Saccharomyces cerevisiae S288C: one gene and its partners. The protein of the gene in region 2 purifies or fractionates together with the protein of the main gene of each other region. This does not show direct contact. Each region holds a gene or a part of one and is shown on either strand. Other genes may lie near its edges.

Evidence for each region.
Region 1: the proteins of GLC7 (region 2) and MPE1 purify together in Saccharomyces cerevisiae (affinity purification with mass spectrometry; 5 studies listed by BioGRID, with this or other methods). This does not show direct contact.
Region 3: the proteins of GLC7 (region 2) and CFT2 purify together in Saccharomyces cerevisiae (affinity purification with mass spectrometry; 5 studies listed by BioGRID, with this or other methods). This does not show direct contact.

Annotation. Positions count from the first base shown.
Region 1 is NC_001143.9:327,663-331,420, reverse strand, and holds MPE1 (cleavage polyadenylation factor subunit MPE1), read left to right. Parts: upstream 1-1,977; coding exon 1,978-3,303; downstream 3,304-3,758. Other genes in the region: NUP120 (Nup120p), read left to right, coding at 1-565; TOA2 (transcription initiation factor IIA subunit gamma), read right to left, coding at 887-1,255. UniProt on the Saccharomyces cerevisiae protein: Component of the cleavage and polyadenylation factor (CPF) complex, which plays a key role in polyadenylation-dependent pre-mRNA 3'-end formation and cooperates with cleavage factors including the CFIA complex and NAB4/CFIB.
Region 2 is NC_001137.3:430,467-434,224, forward strand, and holds GLC7 (type 1 serine/threonine-protein phosphatase catalytic subunit GLC7), read left to right. Parts: upstream 1-2,028; coding exon 2,029-2,205; intron 2,206-2,730; coding exon 2,731-3,492; downstream 3,493-3,758.
Region 3 is NC_001144.5:376,023-379,780, forward strand, and holds the start of CFT2 (cleavage polyadenylation factor subunit CFT2), read left to right. Parts: upstream 1-1,962; coding exon 1,963-3,758. Other genes in the region: AVL9 (Avl9p), read right to left, coding at 1-1,216. UniProt on the Saccharomyces cerevisiae protein: RNA-binding component of the cleavage and polyadenylation factor (CPF) complex, which plays a key role in polyadenylation-dependent pre-mRNA 3'-end formation and cooperates with cleavage factors including the CFIA complex and NAB4/CFIB.

The DNA of each region.
Region 1 (3,758 bases), on a different chromosome or scaffold from region 2:
ATATTCATTAAAAGAAATTCAGATTGAAGAACTGCAAGACTTCAAAGAAAAACAGCATATTCATTATTTAAATCTTTTAATCCACTTCAGAATGTTTGAAGAAGTCTTGGATGTTTTGAGATTGGGTCACGAGTGTCTTTCCGACACAGTAAGAACAAATTTTCTCCAATTATTATTACAGGAAGACATATATTCACGAGATTTTTTCAGCACACTTCTGCGCTTGTGTAACGCACATTCAGACAATGGCGAGCTATATCTTCGTACAGTAGATATTAAAATAGTGGATAGTATTCTGTCACAAAATCTACGGAGTGGTGATTGGGAGTGTTTTAAGAAACTTTATTGTTTTAGAATGTTGAACAAAAGCGAGAGGGCTGCTGCAGAAGTACTGTACCAGTACATATTAATGCAAGCTGATCTTGATGTTATTCGAAAGAGAAAATGTTACCTAATGGTCATCAACGTTTTATCTAGCTTTGATAGTGCATACGATCAATGGATTCTAAACGGAAGTAAAGTGGTTACTTTAACTGATTTAAGAGATGAGTTACGAGGTCTATAGTGAATATATAAACTGTAAATTAATACTTCATTTAAAAAATTGATCAACTCAAATCCGAATATTAGCACCATGATCTTCGTTTGTTTTTTAAGTAAAAAGATTGAACTTTAAATCTAAATTATTATTACATGAATGTACAGACAGGAAAAATAAAAAACAAAAACAGAAGAATCACAAGTTCCCTAATATAAAAGAATACAAAACATTATTTCATGACACTGTTCCTAGAGCTTGTATTAAAAGCGGTAGAAGAGAGGAGATAATAGAGAAATTTCAATGTAACTATTGGTCAACAAAGCATCCGGGCATATAGCATAGATATTACTCGCTCTTTTTTGAGTTACATGCCACAATCCTCAACTTATCCACCGAAATTACACTTTGGCTATCTCCAGACCCGTTCTGGGAGGCGTCGCGGTGGCTGTCCTCAACAGTAACCTGACAATTTTTTACGATAAAAGTCCAAACATCATCGCAAAATCCATATGTGTCCAGGTTTCCTTTCACAGTCAATTTAGATTGGGTATTGTCTTTTAAAGTCTCAGCCACCACTTTGTCAAATGTCTCTAAAACACGCATAGCTAACGACGCTTCTATTCTCCCATCACTAATTAAAGTATCAAGAGCATCCACCAAACTATTCCCTATAGTACTTCTACGATATAATTCGTAATACCCGGGTACTGCCATTTATCCTTACTGTTATCTTCGATAGCCTGTGTCCCCCTCCTAACCTCTAAGTGCATCTTCTACTTATTCCTTATTCGGTCGAATATTTCACAAAGTATTCTAAGGCGTTAAGAAAATATTGTTATTAGTAAAATTAGCTTACCCGGCAATACAACAATAATGAAGCTAACATTATGTTGTATTGACAATTCAGTTCATGTTTGACATTTGCCTAGCAGAAGACATTATCTGCCATGCAACCTGAAAATTCATAGAACTTTTGGAACTTATTTATCTATCTTTCTTCAATTTCTTTGGTTAACACTTTTTTTTTATGTTTTTTTACGTTTTGAGATCATAAATATTTGGAAATATAAATAATCACAAATTCATAACAACTCTTTTTTTAGATAAAGTAAAAACACAGTTATGTATGTAAAGTATTTTAAAACATAAAAAAGGATGATCGACTTGATATATTCATTATCATGTAGTGTATAAGCGGTAAATATAACTACCTTAATCCATTGCTGGTGCAATAACCTTCCTTATGCCATTATATTATGTCACAACATTGTAATTCAGGCGGGTAACTTTACTGAAAGTTAATACAATGATGATGAATATCAAGCATATTGTTAATAACCAAGTTTATGGCCAACATAAAATAAGCAAGAACAATCAAGAGGGTACTGAAATTTCGGTAGCTCTCATCATATCGGCAGAGACTGGAATAGTGTAACATGAGTAGCACGATATTTTACCGCTTTAAGTCTCAACGAAACACATCAAGAATTTTATTTGATGGTACCGGCCTGACAGTATTTGATTTGAAAAGGGAAATTATTCAAGAGAACAAACTAGGTGACGGCACAGATTTCCAATTAAAAATTTACAACCCAGATACAGAAGAGGAATACGACGATGATGCCTTTGTTATACCTAGATCTACTAGTGTCATAGTAAAAAGATCTCCAGCAATTAAATCATTCTCCGTACACAGTCGACTTAAAGGGAATGTGGGAGCAGCAGCTCTTGGGAACGCAACAAGGTATGTTACTGGTAGGCCAAGAGTGTTGCAAAAGAGACAACACACTGCTACAACCACTGCTAATGTTAGTGGTACAACGGAAGAAGAAAGAATTGCTAGTATGTTTGCCACACAAGAAAATCAATGGGAACAAACGCAAGAAGAAATGTCTGCAGCCACACCTGTTTTTTTCAAGTCACAGACGAATAAGAATTCTGCACAAGAAAACGAAGGCCCACCGCCACCAGGTTATATGTGCTATCGTTGTGGGGGTAGAGACCACTGGATTAAAAATTGTCCAACTAACAGCGATCCAAATTTTGAAGGAAAAAGAATCAGAAGAACCACAGGTATTCCAAAGAAGTTTTTAAAATCCATTGAAATAGATCCCGAGACAATGACACCGGAAGAGATGGCTCAGCGAAAGATTATGATTACGGACGAAGGCAAGTTCGTGGTACAAGTTGAAGACAAACAATCATGGGAAGACTACCAAAGGAAAAGAGAGAACCGTCAAATTGATGGTGATGAAACCATTTGGAGAAAAGGCCATTTCAAAGATCTTCCTGACGATTTAAAATGTCCCTTGACAGGTGGTCTTTTGAGGCAGCCGGTAAAGACAAGCAAGTGCTGTAACATAGATTTCTCAAAAGAGGCGCTGGAAAATGCACTGGTAGAGAGCGACTTTGTATGCCCCAATTGCGAAACCCGCGATATCCTTCTCGATTCTTTAGTACCCGACCAGGACAAGGAAAAGGAGGTCGAAACGTTTTTGAAGAAACAAGAGGAACTACACGGAAGCTCTAAAGATGGCAACCAGCCAGAAACTAAGAAAATGAAGTTGATGGATCCAACTGGCACCGCTGGCTTGAACAACAATACCAGCCTTCCAACTTCTGTAAATAACGGCGGTACGCCAGTGCCACCAGTACCGTTACCTTTCGGTATACCTCCTTTCCCCATGTTTCCAATGCCCTTCATGCCTCCAACGGCTACTATCACAAATCCTCATCAAGCTGACGCAAGCCCTAAGAAATGAATAACAATACTGACAGTACTAAATAATTGCCTACTTGGCTTCACATACGTTGCATACGTCGATATAGATAATAATGATAATGACAGCAGGATTATCGTAATACGTAATAGTTGAAAATCTCAAAAATGTGTGGGTCATTACGTAAATAATGATAGGAATGGGATTCTTCTATTTTTCCTTTTTCCATTCTAGCAGCCGTCGGGAAAACGTGGCATCCTCTCTTTCGGGCTCAATTGGAGTCACGCTGCCGTGAGCATCCTCTCTTTCCATATCTAACAACTGAGCACGTAACCAATGGAAAAGCATGAGCTTAGCGTTGCTCCAAAAAAGTATTGGATGGTTAATACCATTTGTCTGTTCTCTTCTGACTTTGACTCCTCAAAAAAAAAAAATCTACAATCAACAGATCGCTTCAATTACGCCCTCACAAAAACTTTTTTCCTTCTTCTTCGCCC
Region 2 (3,758 bases):
TTTCACCTAATTATAGAAACGCGTACTAATGTTTTTTGTTATTGAAGAAACTGGAAATGACTAAAGAATACTCAGGCAACGATGAGCATAGCCAAAAAAAAAAAAAAATTTGTTAAAAGTGATACTGGTAACTTTAATACAATATCCAAAGTTTATGATATCAAGTTGGAAACGGTGTCGATGTGGACTTTGTTAGAGGTTAATCTGTATTTGTGACTGGGCTCTGCCAAACTTACTATCTTCTATTATCTAGGCTCAAGTAAGTAAGATGAAAAAAAGAAAAAGAAAAAAAAGCAGAAAAAAAGCAGAAAAAACAGTAAAGTGGGTGTGAGTGCACTGGAAAGCCTGTGTAATAAGTTTTTGATGTACTGTATTCCTTGCGAGTATTATCACAAAGCTCTACTGTGTTTGCACTGTGGGCGTATAGGGATATCGCGAGGGCAACGCAAAACTAGCAAGATACACATATTCCATACATTAAAGCGGTAATTTTTAGTAGTTAATTTCGAAATTTCAAACCCGGCAATGATACGCACATTAAGAAAAGGGAAAAAAAAAAGAATAAATTGGCCATAGAAAAATTCTGTTATCCACTAGACAGAAGTTTGCGTTCCATACTGTCAGAGGTGGCATTTTACATAACAATAGTGACAAAAAATAAATTTCAGAAGGAAGGCAACATAAGTTTTTCTAATCCTAAAATCTTTCGATTTTGTATCAGAGATTGTTCACGCTAATGTCATTCATCATAGTAGATCATTTATCTTTCACTGCGGAGAAGTTTCGAACGCCGAAACATGCGCACCAACTTTCACTTCTACAGCGTTTGACCAAAATCTTTTGAACAGAACATTGTAGGGTGTGAAAAAATGCGCACCTTTACCGCTAGCCCAAGAGGGCACTACAAAATCTAGAGTTGTACTTCAAACGTACATGTAATCACCTTGTATATACTCGAAAGAAAACATCAAGTTTCTGTATAAATATGAGTGAAAGCATAATCATACATTATCTTTTCAAAGATGAAGAGTGGGTGAATTTTGAGATAATTGTTGGGATTCCATTTTTAATAAGGCAATAATATTAGGTATGTAGAAAGTACTAGAAGTTCTCCTCGAGGATTTAGGAATCCATAAAAGGGAATCTGCAATTCTACACAATTCTATAAATATTATTATCATCATTTTATATGTTAATATTCATTGATCCTATTACATTATCAATCCTTGCGTTTCAGCTTCCACTAATTTAGATGACTATTTCTCATCATTTGCGTCATCTTCTAACACCGTATATGATAATATACTAGTAACGTAAATACTAGTTAGTAGATGATAGTTGATTTTTACTCCAACAAAAGAATTACAGTCAGTGGCTGTTTGCTGACATTTCATTGCTTCCCTTACAACCTGATTTCCATTCGAGTTGAAAGGTTGAGAAAAATTGCAAGACTTCTCTCTCATCTACCTTCCCCTTTTCTTGAAGACAAGGTGAGAGACAATTTAGTACTAAAGCTTTTGCGGTTGTTATTCAATTGAGGTAGATACCTGGCAAAACATTTCTTGTGAGCACAACCTCAATTAAAGTTAGACAAGTAGGTGCACTATTGGTTGCTTGTTGGCTCATCTCGTTGAGGAATGTAATAACTACTTGTTATTAACCTGTTTTTGTGCCATCTATAGTGGAGAGCTTATTGCAATTTGTTTTTTATTTCTTGACTGCATATATCAGTCTTTGACAGGCTGCATGGGGATGACAGTTAGAAACTAGCCAAATTACCCCTTATGTAGATAACAATCATTGCTTATTCGCTCTTCCCCCATTTTTTTTCTTGCTCTTGCTGTTTTTTCTTTTAGCGTTCGTTTCAAGGAACAAGAGAGGGAAAAAAAAATCAAAAGTAGAAAAGAAGAAGAAAAAAACAACGTAACACAAGTTAACACCACAACTGAAAAAAAAAATAAGAGGTGAACGAACGAGTAACTGGGGAGAGGAAAGCAGATTACCACAATATACATTCAAATTAAAGAAATGGACTCACAACCAGTTGACGTTGATAATATCATCGATAGATTATTGGAAGTAAGAGGATCTAAACCTGGTCAACAAGTTGATCTAGAAGAAAATGAAATCAGATACTTATGTTCGAAAGCCAGATCTATATTCATAAAGCAACCCATTTTACTAGAGTTAGAAGCCCCAATTAAAGTATGTTAATGTTGAACTTCGCAGTCAAGAGATAGAATGCCTAGAGCTTCAGGTGTTTTATGTGTTCTACTCCTGTTGCGGCAGTAAGATAGTTACAGCAGTTATTTCCGTTTGACTGAAAGAATTTACCAAGCATCTGATGTTAGCCTACTCATATGTCGAGATAGCCGAGATAATGTGTGTGTTTAGCTCTTCATTTTTCTATCTTATTAGGCATTTTTTTACCAAGATTTCCTTATGTTTTGTATCATCATCCGGCCGGCGCCTCCCATATTCAGAAAAATCCCCCTTGCTCACACTAAAAAAAGAAGGCATTTTTTCGTTATGAAGAAAACGAATCTTTTTTTTTTTTGAGCCCGAGAGAAAGGTCGGACGAAAACCAAGAAATGTGGATTTGCAGAAGGCATTGGGAGAAATGAAGCGTTTTTGACAGCAGTAATTGTTCTCTTAAAGTCAACGGAATGAGCTAGATTTAGTGACAAATTCATTTACTAACTTATTTTTTTCTATTTTTTTTTTTTTTAGATATGTGGTGACATTCATGGGCAATACTATGATTTACTACGTCTATTTGAGTACGGTGGATTCCCGCCAGAATCTAATTATCTATTTTTGGGTGATTATGTCGACCGTGGTAAACAATCCTTAGAGACTATTTGTCTATTACTGGCTTACAAAATTAAGTATCCAGAAAACTTTTTCATTTTAAGAGGGAACCATGAATGTGCTTCCATTAATAGAATTTACGGGTTTTATGATGAATGTAAGAGACGTTATAATATCAAACTTTGGAAAACTTTCACGGATTGTTTCAATTGTTTACCAATTGCTGCAATTATTGATGAGAAAATCTTCTGTATGCATGGTGGTCTCTCACCAGATTTGAATAGTATGGAACAGATCAGAAGGGTGATGAGGCCAACAGATATTCCCGACGTTGGCTTATTATGTGACTTATTGTGGTCAGATCCAGATAAAGATATCGTAGGTTGGAGTGAAAATGATAGAGGTGTTTCTTTCACTTTTGGTCCTGATGTAGTGAACAGATTTTTACAGAAACAAGATATGGAGTTGATTTGCAGGGCCCATCAAGTTGTGGAAGATGGTTATGAATTCTTTAGTAAAAGACAATTGGTGACACTTTTCAGTGCTCCGAATTATTGTGGTGAATTTGATAACGCTGGTGCAATGATGAGTGTTGATGAAAGTTTATTATGTTCTTTTCAAATTTTAAAGCCAGCCCAAAAAAGTCTACCAAGGCAAGCTGGGGGTAGAAAGAAAAAATAAATAGATTCACGTCCTAAATCAAAGTTTAAAAAGGAAAATACTTATTAACAAGAAGAGTAGTAGAAGAAAAATACAAGAAACATAAACGTAGAAAACTTTTAGTCAATTCTTTAAGCGAAGAATACGAAAGAAACATCAAGAAAACAAAGGAAGATGCAATCATCACTCGTCATATACACAAATAATTCCCTTTAGTGCAACAAACCGCGAAAAAGCATAAGAAACATAAAAAAAATATAAAAAAAAGGAGATAATAATAAGATGTG
Region 3 (3,758 bases), on a different chromosome or scaffold from region 2:
AATCACTTAATTTAACACTGGAAAGTAACCCCGTTAAATAGTCCTCGAATTGCCACCTAATGAAATCCTCACTGCCTTCAAATTGAGAGTTTTTTGGAGTTTCATCATCATTTTCGTTCCATGTGTCTGATACAATTCCAGATATAGATTCAATCCATTTTTTATCATGACTTGACAATTGGAGGACGGGGTTCAAAGTCTTGTCCAGAATATCTACAGTGGAATTGTCTGTATTGACAAATATGTGGCACAGTTCCTCCTTTTGTTCAGCAAGCAATGTGTTGGAACTTCCAATCATAAAAAACAAAGTACGTTCTGACCGTATGTCATTCATTTGCTGCAGTGGAGTATAGGGTGAAAATAGTCCACCTTTTTCGAAAATCGGTAATGGAAAACCTAAGAATCTCAACACTGATTCTCGATTGCTTGATTTAAACGAGTCCACAACATTTAATTTCGAAATATCCTGAAACAACTGAGGACTGCCAGAATCCTGCAAATTTGACATCAAGTCCGGAATTAAGCTGATCAGACCGAACTGTAAATTACACAAAGCTTCCACGTCGTTGCCGTAAACTATAATTTTTTTTTCAAGCATAATTGCTTTCAATAAGACTAAAGCGTTTCTCTTAAAATCATGTAGTATCTTTCTCAGACATAACCCAATATAAAGACGATTTTCGGCATTTCTGACCAATGATGCAGGCGTGTAAATCGACTTCAGGTTTTCGTATAAAGACTGGATTATCTTCCTGTCCCCAAAATCATGCTGCAAGAAAAAAGCATTAGTCACAATACTAAGTTTGTCCTTGATTTGACCGAAGATTGGTTGCCTTGAGATGACTACAATTGCCTTCTGTACAGTAGATCGTGTTACATCCTTATCTTTAGTGACCAATTCATCACTCTTTATCTGTCTCGAGCAAGATATGGCAAACAAAGTCGTGTTGTCATTGATGCTATCATCACTCAGATCAGTTGCCCCGTTGGGAGGGCTCCTTTGTCTTCTTTCATCATATAGTAATGTGAAATAAGTAAATGTTTCTTCAAACGAGTGAGAACCATCAGGAAGGGCCTGGAAGGGTAAATTTGGCCATAGTTCTGCACTTTGGGTGCCCTCAGGTAAGCCATACCAGTATTCTATTTCAGGGCCTCTTTTGTGATGAAAGTCCACAAGGCAGATACCGAAGATGACTGCTTCCTCGTGTTCATCCATTATTTTGACAACAAGGTTGCAGCGAGGCAGAATGTATATGTTAGTTTGATATGGTCTTCCTGCTTGGATTCCTTTAAGGCTTCAAAATTTTCTTGAAAAGGAAACTTCGTGAATGAGCTGTAAGGATGCTTGATCGGGCCGTACATTCTTATGCAAGATCCATTATTGACTGCTCTCTGTTGGGTTAGCTTCCATATCTTCCGTTACCCGTTCGTATAATCATTACCCGACGGACAAGCATCATTTCAGCGGCTATTTTTGCTAGGCAAACCTCCTAAGCAATGATACTTCTCAAACGTTCAATGGAAGTAATAGAAGTTCAACTTACCCCATTAATAATCCACACATTAGAAGGTTGGGACAATAAAAATAAAAAGCATTAATTAGTGTAAACTTTGCTCCCAAATGCAAGTCTAAGGTAAGTTCTTTGGTTCATGGAGTTTTTGCAGTGTAATCTCACGTGCACTAGACTGAGTAAAGCGAACCTGAGTTCAAGAAATAATGATTCACCTATGACATATAGTCCAACTATACAAGCAATGAACCCTTACGGATTGAAGTCATTCAATGTTCAATGTTTGTTGTAATAAGAAATATTACTAGAAAAAGATTTTTTCTTTCGGCGGCGTTTTCCCGCTTTTCTTAAACAATCTGCAGTTTTAACATCGAATTCACGAATATTTGTTCGCTAAAGAAATAACACAGAAGATGAAATGAAGAACATACATTGAGGGCGACGAATATATATGACTTATAAATACAATTGCTGTGATGATGGATCAGGAACCACCGTTGGTTCAGTGGTACGATTTGATAACGTCACCTTGTTAATCGATCCCGGTTGGAATCCATCTAAAGTATCGTATGAGCAATGCATCAAGTACTGGGAAAAAGTGATACCGGAAATTGATGTAATAATACTATCACAACCAACAATTGAATGTTTAGGTGCTCATTCCCTTCTGTACTATAATTTTACCTCGCATTTCATATCCAGAATTCAAGTTTACGCAACTCTTCCTGTTATCAACTTAGGGAGAGTTTCCACCATAGATTCATATGCATCTGCAGGTGTTATAGGTCCATATGACACAAATAAACTCGATCTTGAAGATATTGAGATATCTTTTGATCATATTGTACCTTTGAAGTACTCGCAATTGGTAGATCTACGATCAAGATACGATGGATTGACTTTACTGGCGTACAATGCTGGTGTGTGTCCAGGTGGTTCTATTTGGTGCATTAGCACATACTCAGAGAAATTGGTTTATGCAAAGCGATGGAACCACACTAGAGATAACATACTAAATGCTGCTTCTATATTGGACGCCACTGGTAAGCCCTTATCAACTTTGATGAGGCCCTCTGCAATAATTACTACTTTGGACAGGTTTGGCTCCTCTCAACCGTTTAAAAAACGTTCAAAAATCTTTAAAGATACATTAAAGAAAGGTTTGAGTTCGGATGGGTCCGTTATAATACCGGTAGATATGAGTGGCAAATTTCTGGACCTGTTCACACAAGTTCATGAGTTATTATTTGAAAGCACAAAGATCAATGCGCACACACAAGTACCTGTACTTATTCTGTCTTACGCGAGAGGAAGAACTCTAACATATGCCAAATCAATGCTCGAGTGGCTGTCCCCTTCACTACTTAAGACATGGGAAAACAGAAATAATACTTCTCCATTTGAAATTGGATCACGGATCAAAATCATCGCACCAAACGAATTGAGTAAATATCCTGGTTCAAAGATTTGCTTCGTATCTGAGGTAGGAGCTTTGATTAATGAAGTGATAATTAAAGTTGGTAATTCTGAGAAGACAACCTTGATTTTGACCAAGCCGAGCTTTGAATGTGCGTCGTCTTTAGACAAGATACTAGAAATTGTTGAACAAGATGAAAGAAATTGGAAAACATTTCCTGAAGATGGTAAATCATTCCTCTGCGATAATTACATTTCAATAGACACCATAAAAGAAGAACCCTTGAGTAAAGAGGAAACAGAGGCGTTTAAAGTACAGCTTAAAGAAAAGAAAAGGGACAGAAATAAGAAAATTCTACTGGTGAAAAGAGAGTCTAAGAAACTGGCTAACGGCAACGCAATCATAGATGATACCAACGGAGAGAGGGCAATGAGAAATCAAGACATTTTAGTGGAAAACGTCAATGGAGTACCACCGATTGATCATATTATGGGGGGTGACGAAGATGATGATGAAGAGGAAGAAAACGACAATTTGTTGAATTTACTCAAGGATAACTCTGAGAAATCAGCAGCGAAAAAAAATACGGAAGTTCCTGTAGACATTATAATTCAACCAAGTGCCGCTTCAAAACATAAAATGTTCCCATTTAACCCCGCTAAAATCAAGAAAGATGATTATGGTACTGTTGTAGATTTTACGATGTTTTTACCTGATGATTCTGACAATGTTAATCAAAATAGCAGGAAAAGACCTCTCAAAGACGGTGCTAAAACCACGAGCCCTGTAAACGAAGAAGATAACAAAAATGAAGAAGAAGATGGTTATAA